Xenopus tropicalis: one gene and its partner. The protein of the gene in region 2 purifies or fractionates together with the protein of the main gene of each other region. This does not show direct contact. Links are inferred from orthologs where the notes say so. Each region holds a gene or a part of one and is shown on either strand. Other genes may lie near its edges.

What was found. The genes of interacting proteins can lie anywhere in the genome.
Region 1: the proteins of carnmt1 (region 2) and rnf113a purify together in Homo sapiens (affinity purification with mass spectrometry; 3 studies listed by BioGRID and IntAct, counting the BioPlex papers as one, with this or other methods). This does not show direct contact. The link is inferred for Xenopus tropicalis from reciprocal best matches to the Homo sapiens genes CARNMT1 and RNF113A.

What each region holds. Positions count from the first base shown.
Region 1 is NC_030677.2:156,458,277-156,468,501, reverse strand, and holds rnf113a (RING finger protein 113A), read right to left. Parts: upstream 8,807-10,225; 5' UTR 8,789-8,806; coding exon 8,698-8,788; intron 7,820-8,697; coding exon 7,746-7,819; intron 7,419-7,745; coding exon 7,311-7,418; intron 7,070-7,310; coding exon 6,962-7,069; intron 6,428-6,961; coding exon 6,318-6,427; intron 6,194-6,317; coding exon 6,087-6,193; intron 5,532-6,086; coding exon 5,442-5,531; intron 5,265-5,441; coding exon 5,171-5,264; intron 4,751-5,170; coding exon 4,644-4,750; intron 1,760-4,643; coding exon 1,689-1,759; 3' UTR 1,625-1,688; downstream 1-1,624. Other genes in the region: noc4l (nucleolar complex protein 4 homolog), read left to right, coding at 8,905-9,051. UniProt on the Homo sapiens protein: Required for pre-mRNA splicing as component of the spliceosome. As a component of the minor spliceosome, involved in the splicing of U12-type introns in pre-mRNAs. E3 ubiquitin-protein ligase that catalyzes the transfer of ubiquitin onto target proteins.
Region 2 is NC_030677.2:131,480,600-131,492,468, forward strand, and holds the start of carnmt1 (carnosine N-methyltransferase), read right to left. Parts: upstream 5,689-11,869; 5' UTR 5,291-5,688; coding exon 5,172-5,290; intron 3,937-5,171; coding exon 3,741-3,936; intron 2,835-3,740; coding exon 2,671-2,834; intron 723-2,670; coding exon 582-722; intron 1-581. Other genes in the region: nmrk1 (nicotinamide riboside kinase 1), read right to left, coding at 9,704-9,777, 11,423-11,485.

The DNA of each region.
Region 1 (10,225 bases), about 25 Mb from region 2:
ATACTGTAGATCAGCTACCCAACAGGTTATTTAATTAAAGTCACTAAGTTTGCCCTGAAGCAGCAACCCATTAAAATTTACTGGTCACCTGTTTAAAAGCAAACATCTTATTAGTTGCTAGGGGTAACTGCACTTGAGCAGTAGTAACTTAATTTATTAATAACTTTAACTTATTTGTTTAGATTTCTTTGTATGTTCGTATTAGTTGGGTTGTTAGCGCTATCTGGTGTAAATTTCATGCCTAGTTTTCATGCCTATAGCCTAATATATTATTAACTGAGAAAAACCTTGACATGTTCAATTCTGATTTTCCCTGCTGTAGTTATGCATTGTATGAAACAATGATACACAATTACTAAAGGCTCTAACAAAGATTAGCTATACTTTCTGCACAAAGGTATAAATAAAAGGTATAAGTAAATATTGCCCTTTTACATCTTTAACCTTAACCCACTATTTAGTGATGTTCTATGTGTCACTCACTGATCACACAACAGGAAGAAATGCAGATTCTTACTATAACAGGAAGCCATCTGAGAGATGGACACAGCTCTGTCCAATCATTGGCTGGTGTTACCTAGCATGTATGCATGCTCTAGAAGTGGTTCTGTATGGGATTATCAAAAAAGAAAATCCTACTAGAAAAGTATAATTATTTAGAGACCTGCCATGTTTCAGGGGTAAAGGTTCCTTTTCTTCTCTACACAGTAAGCCACTGGCAATGACCTACTGCATTATTATATTAAAGGGAGCGATTAGACACTTAGATTATTAGATTAAATTAGATTATTTACTTTAAAATGTAAAATAATGGGAATGATACATAAAAGCAACATTCTGTGTGATAAAGACGCTATGCTGCAAATAGCTCATTTTGTACTACTTTCTTGAATTAGTCTCTTCTGTTATGCTATACACGTGAATTAAAAATGTGATCATCACAATGTAGAAGGGATTAAATGAGAACAAAACCACTATGTAGATAAATTAAGACCGCTAAATTGGCCTCCCTCTCAAAACAGTCCCATTTACCCTACCTGTTCCCAAAAAGAAGAGAAGCACAGCAAGGTTAATGGGCACCATATTGCAAAACTTGATCTTCTCTTGGAAGCAATCACCAAAGCTGAGCATGTAAGGTTAAAAGCCAGGTTGGAAGCAGTTTAAGATGTGTATTTTCATTGTTGGCAATCACTACAGAGAAAGAAGATAAGGCAGCTCTAGGAGCCATTTGCCAACTGCACCAGTAAACTGTAGTGAACTATCCTTCACCACTTGCTAAATATGCCCCTATGATTCTTTTTATTCTGCAGCTCAAAAAATAATTTCTTCACTAGGCCCTGCATTGTAATGCAGCCCTGTATGAGTTACTTGTTTTTCATTTCATCTACATGTAAAATGTAGCCTTTCCTTAATTACCGTTTAACCATAGGTGAAGCTGCCTTATCAGTGATACTTTACAGACCAGAATACACACACAAATTGCTGATGCATCTTCATCTTTGTGATGCAATTCTAATGTACAGTAAGTGGATAGGTATCACTGACAGGTTCTCATGACTCCATCAGTAATAATAAAATAACATAAATAAGCTGTTAAACAGCATCAAGTCTGCAATGAAATTTGATTTTTCCCCCACCATTTATTTCATTACAAAAACAATGATTTATGTACACAAAAGATCTCTAATTTACAGCGGTTCTTCTGAAGAGTCTGACCCTCCTTCCTCTGCTTTGTGCTTTTCTAGCTTTGCAATCAGCTCTATAAAGGAAAGGAAAACCAGATTAAGAGACACAAGAAGGAAGGAAGCAATCAGACACTGCTTTTTGTCTCAAACTGCCTTAAAGGGACAGTAACACCAAAAAATGAAAGTGTATAAAAGTAATTACTATATAATGTAATGCTGCCCTGTACTGGTACAACTGGTGTGTTTTCCTTAGAAAGACTACTATAGTTTATATAAATAAAGCTTCTGTGTAGCCACGGGGGCAGCCATTTACAGAAGAAAAGGCACAGGTTACTTAGCAGATAACAGATAAAACCCCATTATATTCTACAAAGCTTATCTGTTATCTGCTAAGTGCCTGTGCCTTTTCTCCTTTTTCCCAGCTTCAATGGCTGCCCCCGTGTTGACATAGCAGCTCATTTATATAAACTATAGTAGCGTTTCTGTTGCAAACTTACCAGTTTTACCAGTGCAGGGCAACTGTACATTATATTTTAATTACTTTAAAACACTTTCCTTTTTTGGTGTTATTGTTCCTTTAACATCTGTGTTTTGTATACCATTGCAGCTTTTCCAATAGCTTACATATAAATCATATGTGTGGACTTGCAGGGGCACCGATAACTTGAATTGACTTGCCTTGAAATCACAGTGCGTATTCTAACTGTAAATGGGCTAATTTTCACTTGCACTATAGATACGATATTCTGCAACTATGGCGCTAAGACTTTAATGCAATTTGCAAGATGTGAGTTCTATGTGAGCTGTCAGATCTGATTTTTGAGCCATTAAAGGAACAGTAACACTAAACAATAAAAATGTTTTAAAATAATTAAAATATAATGTACTGTTGCCCTGCACTGGTAAAAGTTGTGTGTTTGCTTCAGAAAGACTACTGTAGTTAATAGAAATAGCTGTTGTGTAGCCATGGAGGCAGCCATTTAAATTGAAAAAAAGGAGAAAAGGCACAGGTTACATAAGAAGATAACAGATAAACTTTGTAGAATACAACGGGAATCTATGCTACTTATCTGTTATCTGCTTAGTAACCTGTGCCTTTTCTCCTTTTTTCAATTTAAATGGCTGCCCCCATGGCTACACAACACACAACTGTAGTAGTGTTTATGAAGCAAACACACAACTTTTACCAGTGGAGGGCAATAGTACATTGTATATTAATTATTTTTATACACTTTCATTTTTTGGTGTTACTGTTCCTTTAACAGGACCATTGTAATCTCAGATAAAAAGCAAATAGAGAATTTTAACCCATAGAAAGTTATCCATCAGCTCATTCCCCAAAACAGAATGAAAAATATTTAAAGGAGAAGGAAAGGCTAATAAAGAGTTAATCTCAAGCTGCAGGCATACCTTCAGTTCTCTCAATAGTGCCCTTAAGTCTCCCCATATTTCACCTGTTCAGATGATCAGAAGCCAAACAGGAAGAAAAAAAACACTGAGCTGTGTAAAGAAAGTTCCCATAATGCCTCGCTCCTGCACCAAGACCGGTGTACATGTGCAGTTAAGTAAGACTATGAGGAAGCTTCCTGCTGATTGGCTCAGATCCACATTCCTAAGGGGGGAGTGAGTTCTTAGCATTCTTGAGGGAGGGGGGAGCAGGAGAAAGGAGAGAGCTGCGTGTCTCTGGCAGAGGAAAACAGACACAACAAATCCTTTGACAGAGAAGTCAGTGCAGCGTTTCTGTGAGTGCTTATGGCTGTATTTACATAGACCTTTCTGATAAAGCTTACTTAGTTTTTACTTTCCTTCTCCTTTAATAGAGAGTATACAGTAATATGAAAAAGTTTGGGGACCCCTCTTAATTTTTTTAAGTTTGTGCTGAATTGTACAACGATGTACAGATACACCATCTGCAGCAAGATGTTCTTGCAGGTCTTTGGAGGTGATCTTTGGGATGTCTGTAATCATTCTCACAATCCTCCGCATGTGCCGCTCCTGTATTTTTCTTGGCCTGCCAGACCTGGGTTTTACAGCAACTGTGCCTGTGGCCTTTCATTTCCTGATTACATTCCTTACAGTTGAAACTGACAGTTTAAACCTATGAGATTTTTGTAGCCTTCCCCTAAACCATGATACTGAACAATCTTAGTTTTTAGATCTTTTGAGAGTTGCTTTAAAGATCCCATGCTGTCCCATGTTGTCAAACAGAAGCATAACTTACAACTGGCCACCTTAAATACCTTTTCTCATGATTGGACACACCTGATTATGAAGTTCAAGGCTTAATGAGCTAATCGACCTGTTTGGTGTTGCCAGTAATTGGTATTGAGCAGTTACATGCATTCAAATTTTTGCACAGCCAGTTCTTCACATTTGATTTAATTTCATACAACTAAATACTGCTTCACTAAAAATCTTTGTTCAGAAAACACCCCAGTACTCAGATGTTCCTGGGAAATGAAAGACATGCCACCGCTTTTTTGTTGAAAGTGGAGTAAATTATTATGCAGGCTGAGAGAGGTTCCCAAACTTTTTCATATGACTGCAACAAATCCTCCCTTCTAACACGTGCTAAACATTGCATTACAGTGAAAAAATTAGATTAGAACAGTACAGGTATAGGATCTGTTTACTATCTAGAAAGCTCCATATTATGGGAAGGCCATCTCTCATAGTACAGAGATCTAATTTAAAGACTGGATCTGGAAAACCCCAGGTCCTCGGCATTCTAGATTACAGGTCCCATGCCTGTATATGAAATATAGAAAAAAAACATATCCTACTTACAAAAAGACCCAATGAAAGTGACATGCAATGATCTAATGAACTTGCTGATTGGAATACAAATAACTGTATAGCAATAGAGAACTTTCCTTTTTTCCTTAAACCGTGTAGAAATGAAAGACAATGTGATGCATTGTGAGCACAACCAACCCATCATATCACTCCAAAACTTACCTTTAGCTGGGTTAAAAACACCATTGGTTTGTGTGTTGCATACATAGCAACGTTTGGATTTACGGTAGTGCTCAAGTGCACATTTCTCACAGAAATAGTGTTTACACCTAAAAGAAAGGGAATGCATAAAAAAATGTATAGTTATTTAACAATAAATAGAAAAGGCATTTGGGAATTAACACAAATGGGCATATATATTAATTAAACTGTAACTGTTCAAACACAGAAACACAAAATGCTGATTATGTCACAGAAAGTAGTGTATTATGTAGCTTGTACATCAGAATTAACAGTATTTTACATTCATCCAATGTGCCACCCTATGCCCAAAACACAGTATTAAGTCTCCGTTTACCTGTAGTGTATTTACCATCTGTGCTGTACCCCGTTTACAGAATACAGCAATAAAAAACATTTTGTATTAAATCTACAACAAAACTTGCAATAATAATTATTGTTACTGGTATTATTTATAACCCCTAGACAAACAAGTCAGTCAAACCTGTATTAACAGCTTTAGCACTCACTTGGTTATAATCGGATTCTTAAAGGAATCTCTGCAAATGAAGCACTTAAAAGGAAAGTCCTCTTCATCACTGCTCACCTCATAATTTTCCTCATCTGAAAAGCAATATCCAATCAGTTGTTAGAATGCTGGGAACAGGAAATTTACAATTGTGCATTAAATAAGGATTTATAATTGCCCTGTGATTAGCAGGAACTAGCCCTTTGGAAATGTTGTGATCAGCGCTACATCAGTTTATCCCATTGTATGCAACTGCATGTTTTATACTGTACCATTTGCTCCATAACGTCCTTCTTCAAGCTCCCGCTCCAGCTGCCATCCATGCTTATAGTCAGAGCGGTCGTGGAGAAACTTGCAGCTGTCTGAATGATAAAACATGCACATGTTCATCAAATGCAGAAGGTTTCAACTTAAAATGTACAATAGAATGTGACGGATATGAATTCCCAGGCTAATGCCTTCTAGGGCTGATTCTCAGGATATGCACTAGCCGAAATTTAGCTGATCTGTGGGCATCCACTCAGATATGTGTCTGTACCCGGAGCCACTGCGAGTGGATTTCAGCACAGAAATGCATACTCAAGGGTTTCATCAACACAGTGACTTTGGGTGCAGAAACAGAAGGTTGCAAATATGAGTGGAAGCTAAACTGTTCCTTTGCTAACAGAAGCCAGCTATAAGATTAATCAGTCCACAAGTTAGAAAATAAAAGTAAAAAACTGACTGCTGCTATGGGTAATTGCTCATACTTGTGTACTTAAATTAGGCCCAGTATAAGTGAAACTAGCTGTGAGTAAAACTTGCAGTGTTACATAATAAATAATAGTAAGGGAAGAGAGAATAAAATATGGGCAAAAAGGGCCAAAGGAACAACAGACATTTAATGGAAAGGGGTACAACACAATCCAGCAACTGACCTCCAAACCCACAGAACCCAGTCTCCTTGTAATCTTTGCAAATATCTGGCTGGTAATCCCAACGTACTGTGGCTCTGAGGTGCTCTGGGGCACGTATTGGTCCTTTCCTAAAATGATAAAAGTTAAAGTTATCAATGCAGACTAAACTATTAGGATTTAATCACCCAGTTGATTGAAAAGTGAAATGTTTCTAAATTAAAACAGAATGGAAAGTGGGAGGGGTACACGTACCTAACCATGCCAGAGGATGCATTGCCCATAGAGGTATCTTTGGGTTTCACAAACTTCTGGTAGTTGTGGATTCCTCGATAGATCTTGTCATCTTCCTTCCCCTTCAACTCCTGTCAGATTAAAGCAAAATAAATAGTGGGAACTAAACAGAGTGTCATCTATGAAAAGGAGAGTATTACAATATTAAAGAAAGTAAAGTGAAGAGAAAAAAAGCACAGAATTTTTAAAGAAACTGCATGTAAGTCATGCAGAACACTGCATGCTTTACTAACACTTATTGCATTCCTTAGTGATCCCCAACCATTGGCTCGGGGGCAACATGTTGCTCACCAACCCCTTGGATGTTGCTCTCACTGCCCCCAAAGCAGGTGCTCATTTTTGAATTCTTGACTTGGTGGCAAGTTTAGGTTGAATAAAAACAAGATTTGCTAACAAATAAAGCCTCGTAAGCTGATGGTGTGCATAGAGGCTACCTATCTTATTTGGCACCTCCACAAACTTTTATGGCACTTGTGTTGCTCTCCAAGTCTTTTTACATTTGATTGTGGCTCATGAGTAAGAAAGGTTGGGGTTCTCTGCTTTAGTGGTTCTCTCATAGTTTAAGGTGAATATATAATCCACTGCATCACATACTAAATACTCACTTCCTGTACTTTCTGGCTCCTCTCAAAAATTGCCTGAGCATCCTTGTCTTTTTCAGTGTCTAGTTCATATGTAGCTGTGGCTCCCATGTCATCTGGCCCTACTGGTTTCTGCAAGAAACAAAGAATGCATACATAGTAAGAAATGGGGGGTGTCTTAGACATGTCATTCTATAAATACAGATTTTTTTTCAATGCATCATTTATATTGAAACAAGACAGACAGCATAGGCTGATTCACAAACTGAATAAAATATCACAAAGAACTAACTGATGATGGGTTTCAAAGATTTTAACATTTATGACATAAAGCCTGTGCTAAGAATAAGCCAATTCCAAAAGAGTCTCTTACCGCAGATCGGGTAGATTTATAAGACACAGTGATAGACTTCGCTGTTTTGTCCTCATCTTCACTGCTGCTTGCTTTGTAATCTTCACAGTCCTTTGGTTGCTGCCTGCTCTAAATCACACACAGAGGTAAATACAACTACCAGAAAGCTCAAGAGGACAAACACTACACACATCCCTTCTGTGGCATGTTAACGTCTGTCCTGCACACAGGGTGACAGGCTGGAGAGGGTTATGGCATGTGTTGTGCTTCCATTCAGCCATTAGCTGCCAGGAGAAGATGATGTGGTATCTATATCTCTAAACAGAGAGGTCTACAGGAAATATCTGGGAGAAGTGTTGCTGCCCACTCTGAAAGATTAACTGGCAGAAAATTTTATAAAGCTCCTTAATGCTCCTGGGGCCTCAGGGTGACATAGTGAATACCTGTGACTCTAACCTTCTGAATCATGGGATTAACCACATCCTTCTTTATCCTCCTTATCACTGGACCTTTCTCTTCCTCGCTGCTCTCTGCAAACAAATCAGTAAAGGACTGATCAGAATAGTACAACACACTTATACAACAGATGCATCTAAGTACTATTCTGAAATTCGATAAATTTAAGACACCAAATGCATGTGAGCCCAGTGACATAAAGGTATGGGATCCCTTATCCGGAAACCTGTATCCAGAAAGTTCCAAATTACGGATCTCCTATAGTCTCCATTTTAATCAAATAATTCACATTTTTAGAAATGATTTCCTTTTTCTCTGTAATAATAAAACAGTATCTTGTACTTGATTCCCAACTAAGATATAATTAATCCTTATTGGAGACAAAACAATCCTATTCAATATTTAAATGATTTTTAACAAACTAAAGTTATGGAGATCCAAATTACAGAAAGACCCCTTATCAGGAAAACCCCAGGCCCTGAGCATTCTGGATAACAGGTCCCATACCTGTACCAATGAACAGTAAATGAGGCTGTATGTATAATTATATTTGTTGTTGTTAATGTTTTGCAAATACTTTGATGGGTTTGATTTTTGTTTTGTCATTTGGACCTTAATTCCCTGGTACATGCTACTGATTTCTAATGGTAATTATATCCAGCAAACAATACAGCCACCCTCACCTGCATCTCCTTTAAGATAGTGGTTTTGAGTAAGGAACAAAGTCGAATAGTTGGCCAATATACACGTTTGAAAATAAAAGCAAAAACCTTATTGGTTGCTAACAGCAACAACACTTGCGCAATTAGTTGTATCTGCGCTCTCTTCTGCATTTAACTCATTTACTCCATCCCAACACTTTGCTGAATTTTATACACGGTAAGCGTGTAATGCCTATAATACTATATTATAATAAACATTTATTTGCACTCCCACTTTCTCCTTGTCTCACCATTGTCCGATTCTTTGCGTTTCCGTCCCGCGAACTTTCGGGCACTTTTTTTAAACACGAAACTGCAAACTGGTGCGTTAGAGTCCGCCATTATTCCTGTGACGCCAGACTAGCTCCAGATTGCGCGCATTGGCTGAGGCCACTTCCTGTTTAGAAAGCGCACGCAGGCGCATTACCGGGGGGAAGTCGCGTTGCTCCAGTAGCAAGATGGCAGCGCGCAAAGCGAAACGTGTGAGTTCGAGCTTTGCCAAGCAAAGTGATGCCGAGCGCCACGATTTGGATAGCAAACTCGCAGCAGTACTGGGAAGTAGAACCAATGCCAACGCGGTGTTTGATATTCTGGAACATCTGGAGGTGAGTGCCCGCTTTGCAGTGTGCTAGCAAACAGTATAACAGCAGCCCTGACAAAGAAGAACATCTTTTGCACGAAACAGAAACACAACATTTTGTGTGACAGTATGCACGTCTAAACAGTGTGACTGGAAGTATTTTAAAGTTCTTATAACAGGGCTCGGCAACCAGTGATAGAAAAAGACAGATGGGAGATGGCCATTAGGGAAAAAAGGAAATGTGAAAAATTACATTTTTGCAGAGAGAGAGAGCTTTTAGCGAGGGTAACATATCAGATTGCTAAGGTTACCAGCCTACTCAACGTATAATTGATGTTATTATTAATCAGCAAGAAAGATCCTGTCTGAATATTTATTTAGAAAAGACTGCAGCCTACAGACAGGGCCAGGTGGGCAAGGCGTGACAGCGGTGGGCAGAGCTAAGATTGAATGCTCAGGTCTGAAAAGAGTGGAACTGCTGGTACATCAGGCCGAATTGTTGGCAGTCAGAATCAGCACTGGGTGGTGCAGGGAAAACAGAATGGCATGAATACATAGTTGTGGGTAATGGGAGAGGAAAATTCTAGTAGCAACGACAATTCCATGAAAGATTCTTTCTAACCTCTTGTCTTTTCTCATTTGCTTTCCCTATTACCTCCGCTGCCCTTTCATTCAGGACCTTCTGTTTTGATCTCACACTTTTCCTAACTTTCCCCTTTATCCCCCGCAACCTTCTGACTCTCACTTTTCCGATTACCACACATTTTCACCCCCTCCATAAACAGAACAACAAATGTGTTTGCGAGTTTCAGTTCTCCTATATTACGGTATAGAATCAGTCACACAGGAACTGTTCCCTTGTGATTATTGTTTGGTCTGTAACAGCTTGTATATTCCTCCCCATAGTAATCACAGTCTATGTACTCCTGAGAGCAACTTAGAGGTCTTTAAAAATTCTCTAGATACTTGCATGCAAGCTAATGTGTCGTTAAATCTCTTACTTGATAGTGGTTCCCTTCTCGGAACTCTGCCAGCGTCTTCATGTGACAATGCTCCTCTACAGGATTACTGTTCCACCAGCTAGAATTTTCCTTCTCCAATTTGAACCCCCCCCCCCCCCCCCCCCCCCACATATGATCTCTGTGTCCACTGTGCCGCTGCTGCCTCTTCCTGGACACAGGGGTCTTCTAAAGGGAGCT
Region 2 (11,869 bases):
TTATACCTGTTAAATCAGTCCTTCTGTCCCTCTGATCAGTTTTCTGAAGAGATGGGAGTGGCTTAATTTTAACCTTACATGCTGAGAACTTTCTATATGTATGCTTACATCATCATGTCGAGGCCTTTCGTTTATTCCTATTGCTTGCTTCTGCACTCTAACCAGTTGCATAAAATGAACGGGCATTGGTTAATTTCTCCCTTGCCTCCCCCCACCCCCCAGCACAGGGTCTGTGCAGAAGTGAAGGATCAGCAGAGGGATGATTATGAGGTGAATATCTCTTCAGCTGCACATTTTTTTCCTTAACTATGTATATGGCAAAGATTGTTCTAGCAATGTGAACTATTAGATTTGTGAATGTTGTACAAAGGTGAACAACCCCTTTAAAGTTACTACATCTTTAATAGCAATTCCCATTCCATTTTGTATTCCTGTTAGCAGCCTTTCCACCTAAATACACACATTATATATATATATATATATATATATATATATATATATATTTATTTTTTTTTTTTTTTTTTTTTTAATACATGCATCAAGTGTCTCACAACTCTGCAGGGTCTGTATTTATAACTTACCTATTGAGCACAAAATTTGAGGAAAACAGCATGAAGAAACTCCATTCATTCCCTTGGCAAGAATACCCATGCTTAGCTATTTCCCATGCCAGCCTACCAAGCCCTGCACCAGGCACTAAGATATTTATATTGGAGACATCACTGGAAGATACAAAATGGAAATTAAGTGGTGCAACGATCTATTAAAGCATTAAAGGAACAGTACAGTGTAAAAATTAAACTGGGTAAAATGAAGACTGCAGAAAATGAAAAATATTTGTAATATAATTAGTTAGGCAAAAATGTAATCTATAAAGGCTGGAGTGAGCAGATGCCTAACATGCAGGTCAGATTCAAATGTAAACTAACTAAACAGCTATGTCCCATATCAACTTTCATTTTAAAAGGTACTGTAACACACTAAAGCATGCAAATGGCAGCAGTGTTCCTCCACTACACCTTTGATTCATATATTGTATATGAAATATAAAACTGAGCTCAGTAAGTTTAACTTAAAGAGAAAGTCCATCCAAAGAGCGTTTTTATCCTTTTTTTGCATGATGAAAGAAGCAAGACCTGAATTCTTAGATGGAAACTTCATTTGTAATGTCAGGAAGCTTGCTTATCTTAATCAGACTGCAAGCTCTACAGGGCAGCGACTGCTTTCCTTGTGTGTTTCTTAGCATGTGGCACTTAAAGAATAAGTAAGTCTTTTATCATAAACGTCTCTACCTTTCATACCTTTCTCCCTGCACTCAAATGATTCTAAATAGTGCCCAGCATAACGCACTTTTCTCCCTGCACTCAGTCTCATGCAGATTCTGCACCACAAGCAGCTCAACTTTAGCTGTCTCAGCTACTTCCTAGTCTAGTGTAAAGCTCCATCCCCTTTTCTGAGTTCTCTTTCGCTCTCTGACTGTGATGGTCGAAGAGGTGTCTACTGAGCACTTCTGATTGATTTCAGAAAAATAGAGAAAAATCAGCAAAGAAATGGGGGTGGAGCTTCACGCTAGACTAGGAAGTAGCTGAGAGAGCTGAAGTTGAGCAGTTTGTGGTACAGGATCTGCATGAGACTGAGTGCAGGGAGAAAAGTGCGTTATGCTGGGCACTATTTAGAATCATTTTAGAGACATTACTGATTCACTAAAGTGCGATAACGCTTATCGCATGGTTTTTTGCGTTAAAATTGATGCGATAAATAAGTACCGATTCATCAAAGTCTTTTAGCATGCGTTAAGACGCATATCGCCTGCGCTAAATAACGCATCATTGCAAGGCCTTCATTTTAATGCATTGCATTAATTAGCGAATAGAAATAGTACTAACGCATTATTCACAAACACATAAGAAGCGTTAAATGCACTAAATATTATAATACTTGGGGCAGGCAGTACTTAAAGAAAATTGTGGTTCATGAGCTTTTGGCAACACAACATGGACTTTGCAGTGGGATTTTTTCAAGTATGTGTTGGCCCTAGAGTGATGCATCCTCCAGTTTGCAGGGAAATGATCATTTTTAGTAAAGGCGTTAAATCGTGCACTACAATGCAAAGATATTTTCAGATTTGTCAATTTTGTCTGTGTGGCAATACCCTAGGGCCAATGTCACACCAGGCTGCTAAAATCACCAGTGGAAAGTGCCCATTGGAGAACGTTCACTACTTAAAGTGACATTAAAAAATTTTAGCTGTTGCCAACTGATTGTTACAGTAAATTTCAAAGACATTGACATGGAGACATGGAGTTTCTACACAAACTGTTATAATAGAGTACTAATTCCCTTCCAAATTAGGAATATGTAATCTATGTATCTGTGCCACTGCAAAACCTGGCACAGCTACATCCACTCTGATTTGCAGTTGCACATAACATATTATATATCTAATGTTATCTGCCATGCAACATGTGCCTTTTCTGCTTTTGAATGGCTGCCCCCATGCCTAAACAGCAGATTTATATAAACTATACTAGTCTTTCTGAAGCAAACATAACTTTTTACCAATGTAAGGCAACAATACCTTATATTTTAATTACTTTAAAACACTTTCATTTTTGGGGTTACTATTCATTCCTAGGAAATGCCAGTGTCAAAATGCCTAAAGTTACATACCTCTCATCTTTTGGAAAATGCTTAAGAATTTCATCGATTATAGGCTGGTAACAAGCGTCTCTCTCTGACTTGCCATCCTCACTCCAATCTCTCACAAACTGCTTTATAGTAGATTTAAGTTTGTCCATATCAAAGGTTGAAGGAGGAGTTGGCTTTCTGTATCCCTGTGTATTGGAAACATAGGCTTACATACTATGTGATCTGATTTCAAGGGAAGCTCCATCTATAAATACAGCAATAAACACATATGCTCAAAACAGATGAAATGGTGTTCACGTGGAAAATCAAGTTCTACAACACAAAATATACTATGTGTATTTTGTAATGGCTGCCAATTTGCAGAGCACATACATCATAATATATATAACTGGCTTTTGTACCCATGAGCCTTTTCAAAATTGGACCATGTGGTGCATTCCAGAATGCTACAGATACACAGTACTGCATGTGTAAATTGAGCTTGTTCTTCCTGCCGGTGGATACATATGGGAACAAAGATCAACACCTAGGATCTATTACATGTGATTACAGACCCAAGAATAACATACATTTACCATCAAGTGCCATGCAACTTGATGATTTGAAACACACTGTGCTGCAAGCATAAAATACATTTCTAAGGGTGTCCTCTACCAAAAATGTTTTTTAAACAATAAATATGAAACATGTTATTTTGTTATTACATATTATTTCAAGAGTCAGACATATTTATTTATGGTTCAGTGTGATTAAAGGGGTTTACCTTTTATTGGGGTGTATACTACCCACTGACTACCAAATTGTATGACGCTGCCATTATGTTATGAATACTGAGCATCACTTGCCAGCTTGTATGCTTTGTACCACAGTAATTAGCTAGAAATTAAAGAGAAAGCTCCAAGGTAAAGTGGAACTTTGCAGTTACCACCCCAGCCTCTACACTAGACCTTCAGTTATGTATGCATTATTAAACATACAAAAAACATTAAATTATAGCAATAAAATAATCCATTCAGTTATCAAGTATTCAATTTCAATAAGACTAGAATTTTAACTGTTAAACTGTATTTTTTAAATAAAATTGTACTTACTTTTTCACCATATTCTTTGTTTTCAAACATATGGGTACAATCATCTACAATCATTTGCAGAATTTTCTGATTGTGATTTATGCACTCACGGATCTTGTCCAAGTGAGGAACGAAGTGGGGAAGCAATTTCTGTTGATTTTTTGACAAGGACTTAAATTGTCTTTCTGTGCGGTTCACTTGCTCATGAATGCTACTTCTAAATAAACAAACAAAGACAGAATTCACTAATTAAACAAATTTAGGTTATAAATAAGATACTAATTTTAAAGAATATTTGAGGATTAAATTTGCATTTTAAGTACTGGCCACTGGGTTAATGCAATTGCCAGAGAAATGGAGAGATCTGACTTTCCATATCCTGCACAGTTTAGCAGAGGCAGAATTAAGGTGGCCATACACGGGTCGATTGTAGCTGCCGATATCGGTCCCTTAGACTGATTCAGCAGCTTATTGGCCCATGTAGCGGCAGCAACGACTTGCATGCCCAACCGATATCTGGCCTGAAATTGGCCAGATATCGATTGGGCAAGTTAAAAGATTGTCAGATCGGGGACCACATCAGCTTGTTGATTGTTGATGTGGTCGCCGAACCGACGGCGCCCATTGCCGTAGTTGTAATCTGATCATTTGGCCCCAGGGCCACCTGTATGTGGGGATATCGGGAGAAGATCCGCTCACTTGGTGCCCTTGCCAAGCGACCGGATCTTAACGTGTATGGCCACCTTTAGAATCTGAACTAACACAAGATTTTGGAGGCAAATAGTGCAAAAAACCAAAAAAGAAGCATGCAATCTCAGTTACATTGATCAAATCCTAGCATTAATACTTATGGTTGCCAACCTTTCTTGAAAAAAAAAAAAAAAATACCAGCCTTCCTATATAGCTATCTTTTTTACCCAAATTAATAATATTGGCATAAAGCATCATTTTTACCAGTCAGGTGGTAACACCATAGATATTAAGCATTTTAATTTACTTTTACCAAACCTTGTGTTTTATAATGGCAATGACATAGTTATGTATAATAAAATGAATCATAGTTACAGGCTATAACTGCTTATGGATGAGAGAGCATCCATGCGATTTAGTCTAAATCCACATCTATTCCAGTCCCACTTAGCTCATTTATAACCAAATAGGTTATAAATAAGATACTAATTTTAAAGAATATTTGAGGATGAAATTAGCACTTTAAGCAGTGGACATTTCCCCTACAACAGTAAGGGTTAAGGCAATGCTTATGGTTGAGAAAGTGAGATTTACTCTGGATCCACATTTATATCTATTCCATTCTCCTCCAGCTCATATTAAAAATGATATTAGTTACTACCCCCAGCATCATAATACAGCCAAAATGGATGCTAGACCATGTAAATAAACAAAGCCTTTAGAAGTGCATGCTAGACACGGCAGCCAGACAAAGATACTCACCCATAGCCTATAAAGGCACTGATGATCTTCCAGAAGTGGTCTTTTTCCAGCGCCTCTTCCTCCTCTGGACTTTTGCGCTGACGTCGCTCCCTGTAGGCACATATATCCTGCTCCTCCATAACGCTCAACAGTTGCGCTTTACGTTGGGCAGACGCGATTTTCTTAACAGAACCAACAGTCCCGGGTCGCTGCTTAAACGTCCCGCAACGCCATGAACATCCACCTCTTTGGCTCCTGCCTGACAGATAATCCCGACAGCACAAATTTCATCTCGCGAGACTATGGCGTCACGACTACAAGTATATAAGTGCAGTGACTGCCGGCGACGGCCTACTTTACGGCAGTGCAATCATACGCTTGCAGAAGAACAGCCTTTTACAAAGTTTTTCCCACTCTTCACAGTTCCTACTTTTATCAGTGACAAAAATAAACGTTTTTCGTTTCTTTTTGGTATAAGTTGCCTGCCATACACCCCCACCGCTGTATTAGAGCCTCAGCTCCCGATATTGGCCACAACTGAGTTACCTTTTTTTCCTGCTCTCTAAAACCTATACTTGTGCTGTGGAGTAGAAAAAAACGACTTTAGTTTTTATCATGGTTGGTGCAGCAACATCCTAATATATGCTTCTGCATACCTCCCAACATTTTGAAAACGGAAAGAGGGACAAAAATAAGCGCAGCATGGTGAATTTTCTGACCATGCCCATTTCTGCCCACACCCACTCTCATTTGATTACATTTGGCAGGTTATTTAAAGTTTGATCAAATTTCTCAAGGTTTTGGGGTCTTGTGTAATGTGTTATTACAGTTTTGCTGAAAAAGGTGAAATTGCCCATATGGCTAATGCCAGACGAGGCATAGGGCGGATATTTTCGGCAAGCGGAAAAACGATTGCTGAAAATTCCGGCCTAAGCCTCCTACTTGTGCCTGCACCCGAATAAATAGAATACGCTCGGGTGCAGGCACATGTAGCAGAAATACTCATAAAATTGCAAGAGTTTGAAAGTCTGCGAGTCTCAGTTCCCCCAAGAGACCTGTTTAGCTTATTAGTTACATTTGTATCTCAGTGCAGGTGGGGCTTTTTACCTTTCTGGGCTCACTGCCAAAAGCCCACTGATTTCATTAAAAGTGAGAAACAATGTATCTAAGTGCAGAATGAATGAGATATACTCGGGTGCAGACACATGTAGCCGATATACGCATGAAAACGCAAGATAATGCAAAGTCTCACGTTTTCATCGGCTACATGTGCCTGCACATTCATTCGGGTGCAGGCACAAGTAGCAGGCGTAGGGCTGAATTTTCGCCAAGCGTTTTTCCGCTTGCCGAAAATATCAGCCCTACGCAGTGTCTGGCATCAGCCTAGATTTCTGGGTTCTCTGCCAAAAGCTACTTTTAATTAAATTTGTATCTTTTTTTAGCTTCAATGCAAGGAGATCAAAGGGAAACGAGGGACTTTTCAGTAAGAATCCAGGACTACTGGTTGAGCTGTCGAAAGAGGGACTGTCCCACGAAAATCAGGGGACTGTCCCACAAACACCATCAGATCTTCTTCTCCCAATTTGACCAGAAAGGAAGGTTTGTGCATTAAATCATTAATCTGAGGGTCCCCATGTTTTTGTGCAAACAAGGGCTAGATTTCTGACAATTTTGAGACAAAACAATGATTAATTAGGAGACAATTGGTAAATTGGACAAAAGTAATGTTTTTCTCTTTATTCCCTGTGATCCTAACACTGAAGTGAGTACCTTCCCTGCCACCTTGACCCATGGTTACCCATAAACAGACTTTTGGTTAGTTTTAGTTTTGGTCCAGTGTTTTTATGTGAAGATTAGGTCAATATTTTTCACAACCTGGCGACAAAATAAGTTTGGGTTGGAGGGTCCCAGTGTTTTGGGTTTTTTTTGTACAAACAAGGGCCATGTTTTTCACAATTAAGGACAAAACCATGGCTAATTTAGGAAAAGACAATAAGTGAAATTGGCAAAAGGAAATCATGAGTGTTTCAATTCAATTTTTTTTTTACTTTGGCATGAGGATCCCAGTGTTTTTGTGCCAACCAGGGCAAAATTTTTCACAATAGGGACAAGATGTTCACCCAAGATATTGGGTGAAACTGAGTTTTAAGTGTCTATTTTTTTAACTTCAGTTTTGTTTAACAATTTACGGACAAAAATGGCTAAGTTATGGGTAAAATTGACAGTAACAGTTATCTAGTTTTTAGGCTCATTTTTTTCCTACAGTGGCTTCAAAGGGTCCCATTGTGTTTTGGGAAGACTTATGGCAATTTAGAAACAAAAAGGGCTAATTTAGGAGAAGACAATTGGTGACAGTCACTTTTAAAAGTCATTTCCATATCCCATTAGGGCTTTGTATTGGGAGTTTTACCGAGTATCAGTGAGCCAGAGATATACCAATTGCCAACAGTACCTTATTGGTCCTAGAATATACATTTATTAATTTGATCACCAGGAAACTTTGGAAAACAAAGTACTGCGTTTGCTTTGCCACCAGCAATTTACTTTGTGGTGGGAAGGTATTTTGGGGAGATTTGTTGCCCACAGTAGCTGTATAAGGAATGGAGCAGGATTTCCATCACATCAGGAAGTGCAAATCTCTTTACCCAAGCAGCCAAAAGAACACATCACATGTGCTGTTCTTGTGAAAGCCAACATCCCAAATTGCATAGTTTTATTTAGGAGAGAAAATAACTATTAAAGGAGAAGGAAAGTTACAATCACTGGGGGGTACCAAAGGTTAGGCACCCCCCAGTAATTGTAAGCACTTACCTTAAACCCCAGGCTGGTGCTCCTGTTAGGAGAAACTCCACTGCCCTTCTGTGTAAGTGCTACAGAGCGTTCCTGCTTCTTTGTTCGTGTGGGTGCACATGCACTGTAGAATGAAAAGCTGAACTTTACTAGAAAAGCTATCTTTTAACTCCATTGTGCATGTGTCGGCACCAGAATACGTGAAGAAAGAAGAAGCAAAACAAGAGCATTGCTCCGTGGTGCTCACACAGAAGAACCATAACCACACCTTTTGGGGCCCTGGGACTTTCTTCTGAGGAACTGATAGGCCAGTGCAGTTTTTTTACAAGCAGGAGCAGCAGCCCGGGCTATCCTTTTCTTTAAATCCTACAATCTTCAGGCTGGTTACTCTTTCAGCTACACTGGGTCCCAAATATGGGGGGGGAGGGCACTCAAAGACCTCTTAGCAAAGCACCCCCAAAAATGTCCATTTATTGTTCAAAAATTACATGATAGATCCAAATTAATGAGAGCAATTGCAATAAACTGAATTTCTCTTTTGTGCTTAAGTTCTCAGTTCAGCAGTGGCAATTAAAATACTTTCAGATCTTCTCCTGCCACTCCAAAAAAGTACAAATACTATGGTCAACAGATTTATGAACCATTGGAATGGTCAGTTTGTAAAATGAAAAGTAATGAGGTGTTTTTATGAATAGTATTTTAAAGGAGACATATCCTATAAAAATTCTGAATGTACCAGTGAATTATACTCCTAGATATAGAAGGATTGTGCTTAAAAAAGTTGTGTTTCTGACTGATTTATTGAGAAATTCCACAAAAACCCCACTAGCCCCGCCCATCAGTTCCACTTCCTGCTGGCTCAATTCTCTGGATGAGCTGGGGAGCCGGCGGCCCTCTGTACACTGCACTAGGCTGACCTGATAGGGAACTGAAGCCTGTCTGTGCTTGTGTGAGTGCAGGGCTGTGATTGGCTCTCCCCCTCCTACTGTGCTTCTGGCAGGGACCATTAGGACACGCCCACTCTCCATTTCAAACTCGGACAGTGTAGTGATAGGATCTATAGGGAGCTCCAATAAAGGGGCCATTGTTACAGATAGGATTAATGTTTAGCCCAAAGGGAAACCAGCACCGGATATTATTCATAATTGCCTACAAAATTAGGGTTTTCCCATTTATCCAATATGTCCCCTTTAATCCTACACACATGTATTAACCCATGCCTTTGAAGTGCCCTGCTTGACTAGTAAAACTGACACCAGTGCACTTGAGGATAGTCTTAGTATGAATGCTCATATCTCTCTTTTTTTATACTTGTAAAATGCAACAGTTCTAATATGTTTTTTTTTTCCAAAACGACAGAGAGGTATAACAAGGTGTAATAGCTAATTAAAAAAAAGATACTTTGTATTCTTTTCATAATGGTGTAAATAAAAATGGATACTAAAGTTTTTCTTTACTTCAGAACATCACTATACAAAATTTCCACAGCATAAGGAATTCCATGTTGCAACAAACACAACTGAAGTCAAACAAATGTTTCCAGACAAATTGTTTTAGTTATAAGCATTGTGAGGTAGCATGCACAATATAGCAACAAAATCCATTGCTTTGAGTTTGTCAATTATAAGTATGATGCAACATTGTAAATAATCATGTTCCTTTCATCTGTTCTTAACCTGTGATATCTTCCTACTACATATTAAACATGTTTGGGTCCGTACTCTTTGTATATTGTGCCGGGTTGTGGTCTTCTGGATTCATTTTTACATTAAATGAATAATTCCTAGAGAAGGCGACCAACACTTTCTTTTAGCAGCTTTACTTGTGAATTGAGAAGCTGTCAAAGATAAACAATACACTGTGAAGCACATATACACACAATACAAGTAATAGCAACCTGTGAGTTTCTGCTATAGCAGCAGGTAAACATAATTGTCTCCAACTTCACTCTTAGGGCTGTATTTATGAAGATGAGTATAATAAAAGTACTATTTCTTAAGCTTTTATGTCTTCTTATTCTGATTTTACACCATCCATCACCATTTTTGAAATTATCAGGCAGAATCCATTACAAAGTTAAATGTGGTATTATTATCTTGGCAGGCACTTTGAGGGAATGACTTCAATCCATGCTTTGTAAAATCCAAAATCATTTATTGGGAATTCTTGTTGCCTTACGTGTTTCGTGCTACACAATGCACTTAATCATAGACACAATTAGGCCAGGCAGTGATACCTATTATGCAATAACCAATGCATATGTATAGAATAAAACTTAGGGGCTTATTTATTAAGATTGGAGATAAATATCACCACTGATGGTGTCCATAGAAACTAATTAGAGCTTTGCTTTTAATTTCTAACTTGCAGGTAACTGTTTAAATCTAATTGCTGATTGGTTGCTACAGGCAACATCACCGGTGATATTTATCTCCAATCTTAGTAAATAAGCCCCTTAGTATTAACTGTATATGAGTGATCAAGTATACATAATACAGAATCAGGCACAGGCCACCAATATCTTGCATTTGTTGGTGGATATCGGCTGTGTGTGCTTGCCCGGGTGGATTCAATGTTTCCAGGTGCATACACAACTAAAAGTATATTAATAGAGAGGCTCACAATCTGCCTCATGTGACCTTGCCCTAAGCCACAGCCTTTGAGCAGCTCATTATCAGAGGGTGTATCAGAAGACTGGTAATTAGTTTTATCAATTACTATCAATTTCTCCTTGGCTTCTCATAACCAGGAAGTCACAGCACTAATGTGAAATTTGTTCCCTTTTCTACTTTAATACCAGAAATAATAATAACAAAAACCATAGATATTTCTTAAGTAAAGCTCTAAAGGCAAAAAGTATGTTCAGTTCAAGCCCTATTCATTGAGCTCATGCTAAAATGAGGTGCATACTGTCTTTTTCAAATATATAAAGGTACATCCACACACCATATAGATTGAGTGTGCATATTAAAGATATGGTACATAAACTAGATGAAAAACACTGAACTAGTATGGAAAACCCCAGGTCCAAACAATTTTTGACACTTTGTACACTGTATATTTGTGCATTTGCAGATAAGGTTCTTTTCTCAAATACATAGAACACCATGCTTACATTGTTACAGCACAAAAACAAAACAAATACAACTGGTTTTCCATTAACAGTTGGGGTACAGGGCATCCTGGATAACGGGATTATACATCCTATAATATAATTATATTCAAACACCAGAAGGAAGTAAAATGGAAGCAAGATAGCAGAAAGAAGCAGTAAATAAAGAAGAAAAGCTACTCTTGCAGTACCACCTACAGTACCTAAGAGAGAAAGCAAAGATCCCAAAAAGGGGAACGGTCAGCTATAAAACTAACAGTACAATATAAGCTGAGCTGCAGTGAAAACAGAATATATTACTAAATATGGTTCAACTCATCCTTAATAAATAAATACTATTAGTATTAATCTAGATCATTTGCTTACCTACTTATTATATCAGAATAGACTAAAGACTGTATTTCATCTTCAGATTTGGTTCCATCCAAATATACTGAGAAGAAAAGAGAAAATGTTTTTCTGTAAAAAGTACTATATACAAGGTGGCAGAAATAACTTGCCAGCTTCAGTTCATGCCAGCTATTTTGGGCCTTTTTTTAACACCTTAACAATTCTTGCATAATTAAATTTTTTGGTACCTGGCCTTTGCAGAATAATCTATTAAGGATTAACTATATAGCTTTTCTATGGCAAAACATAATAAAAAGCATCTCTTTTTGCATCAACAGTATTTTCTAAACTTTAATATTGCAATATTTTGGGGCATATCTTAAATTTAAGATATGTAATACCTACTGAACTGCCACCTTGTATTTAGTACTTTAAGTAAACTGTACAGCAGCCCAACATGATACTGTGGATGCCCCTGGCATCTAAA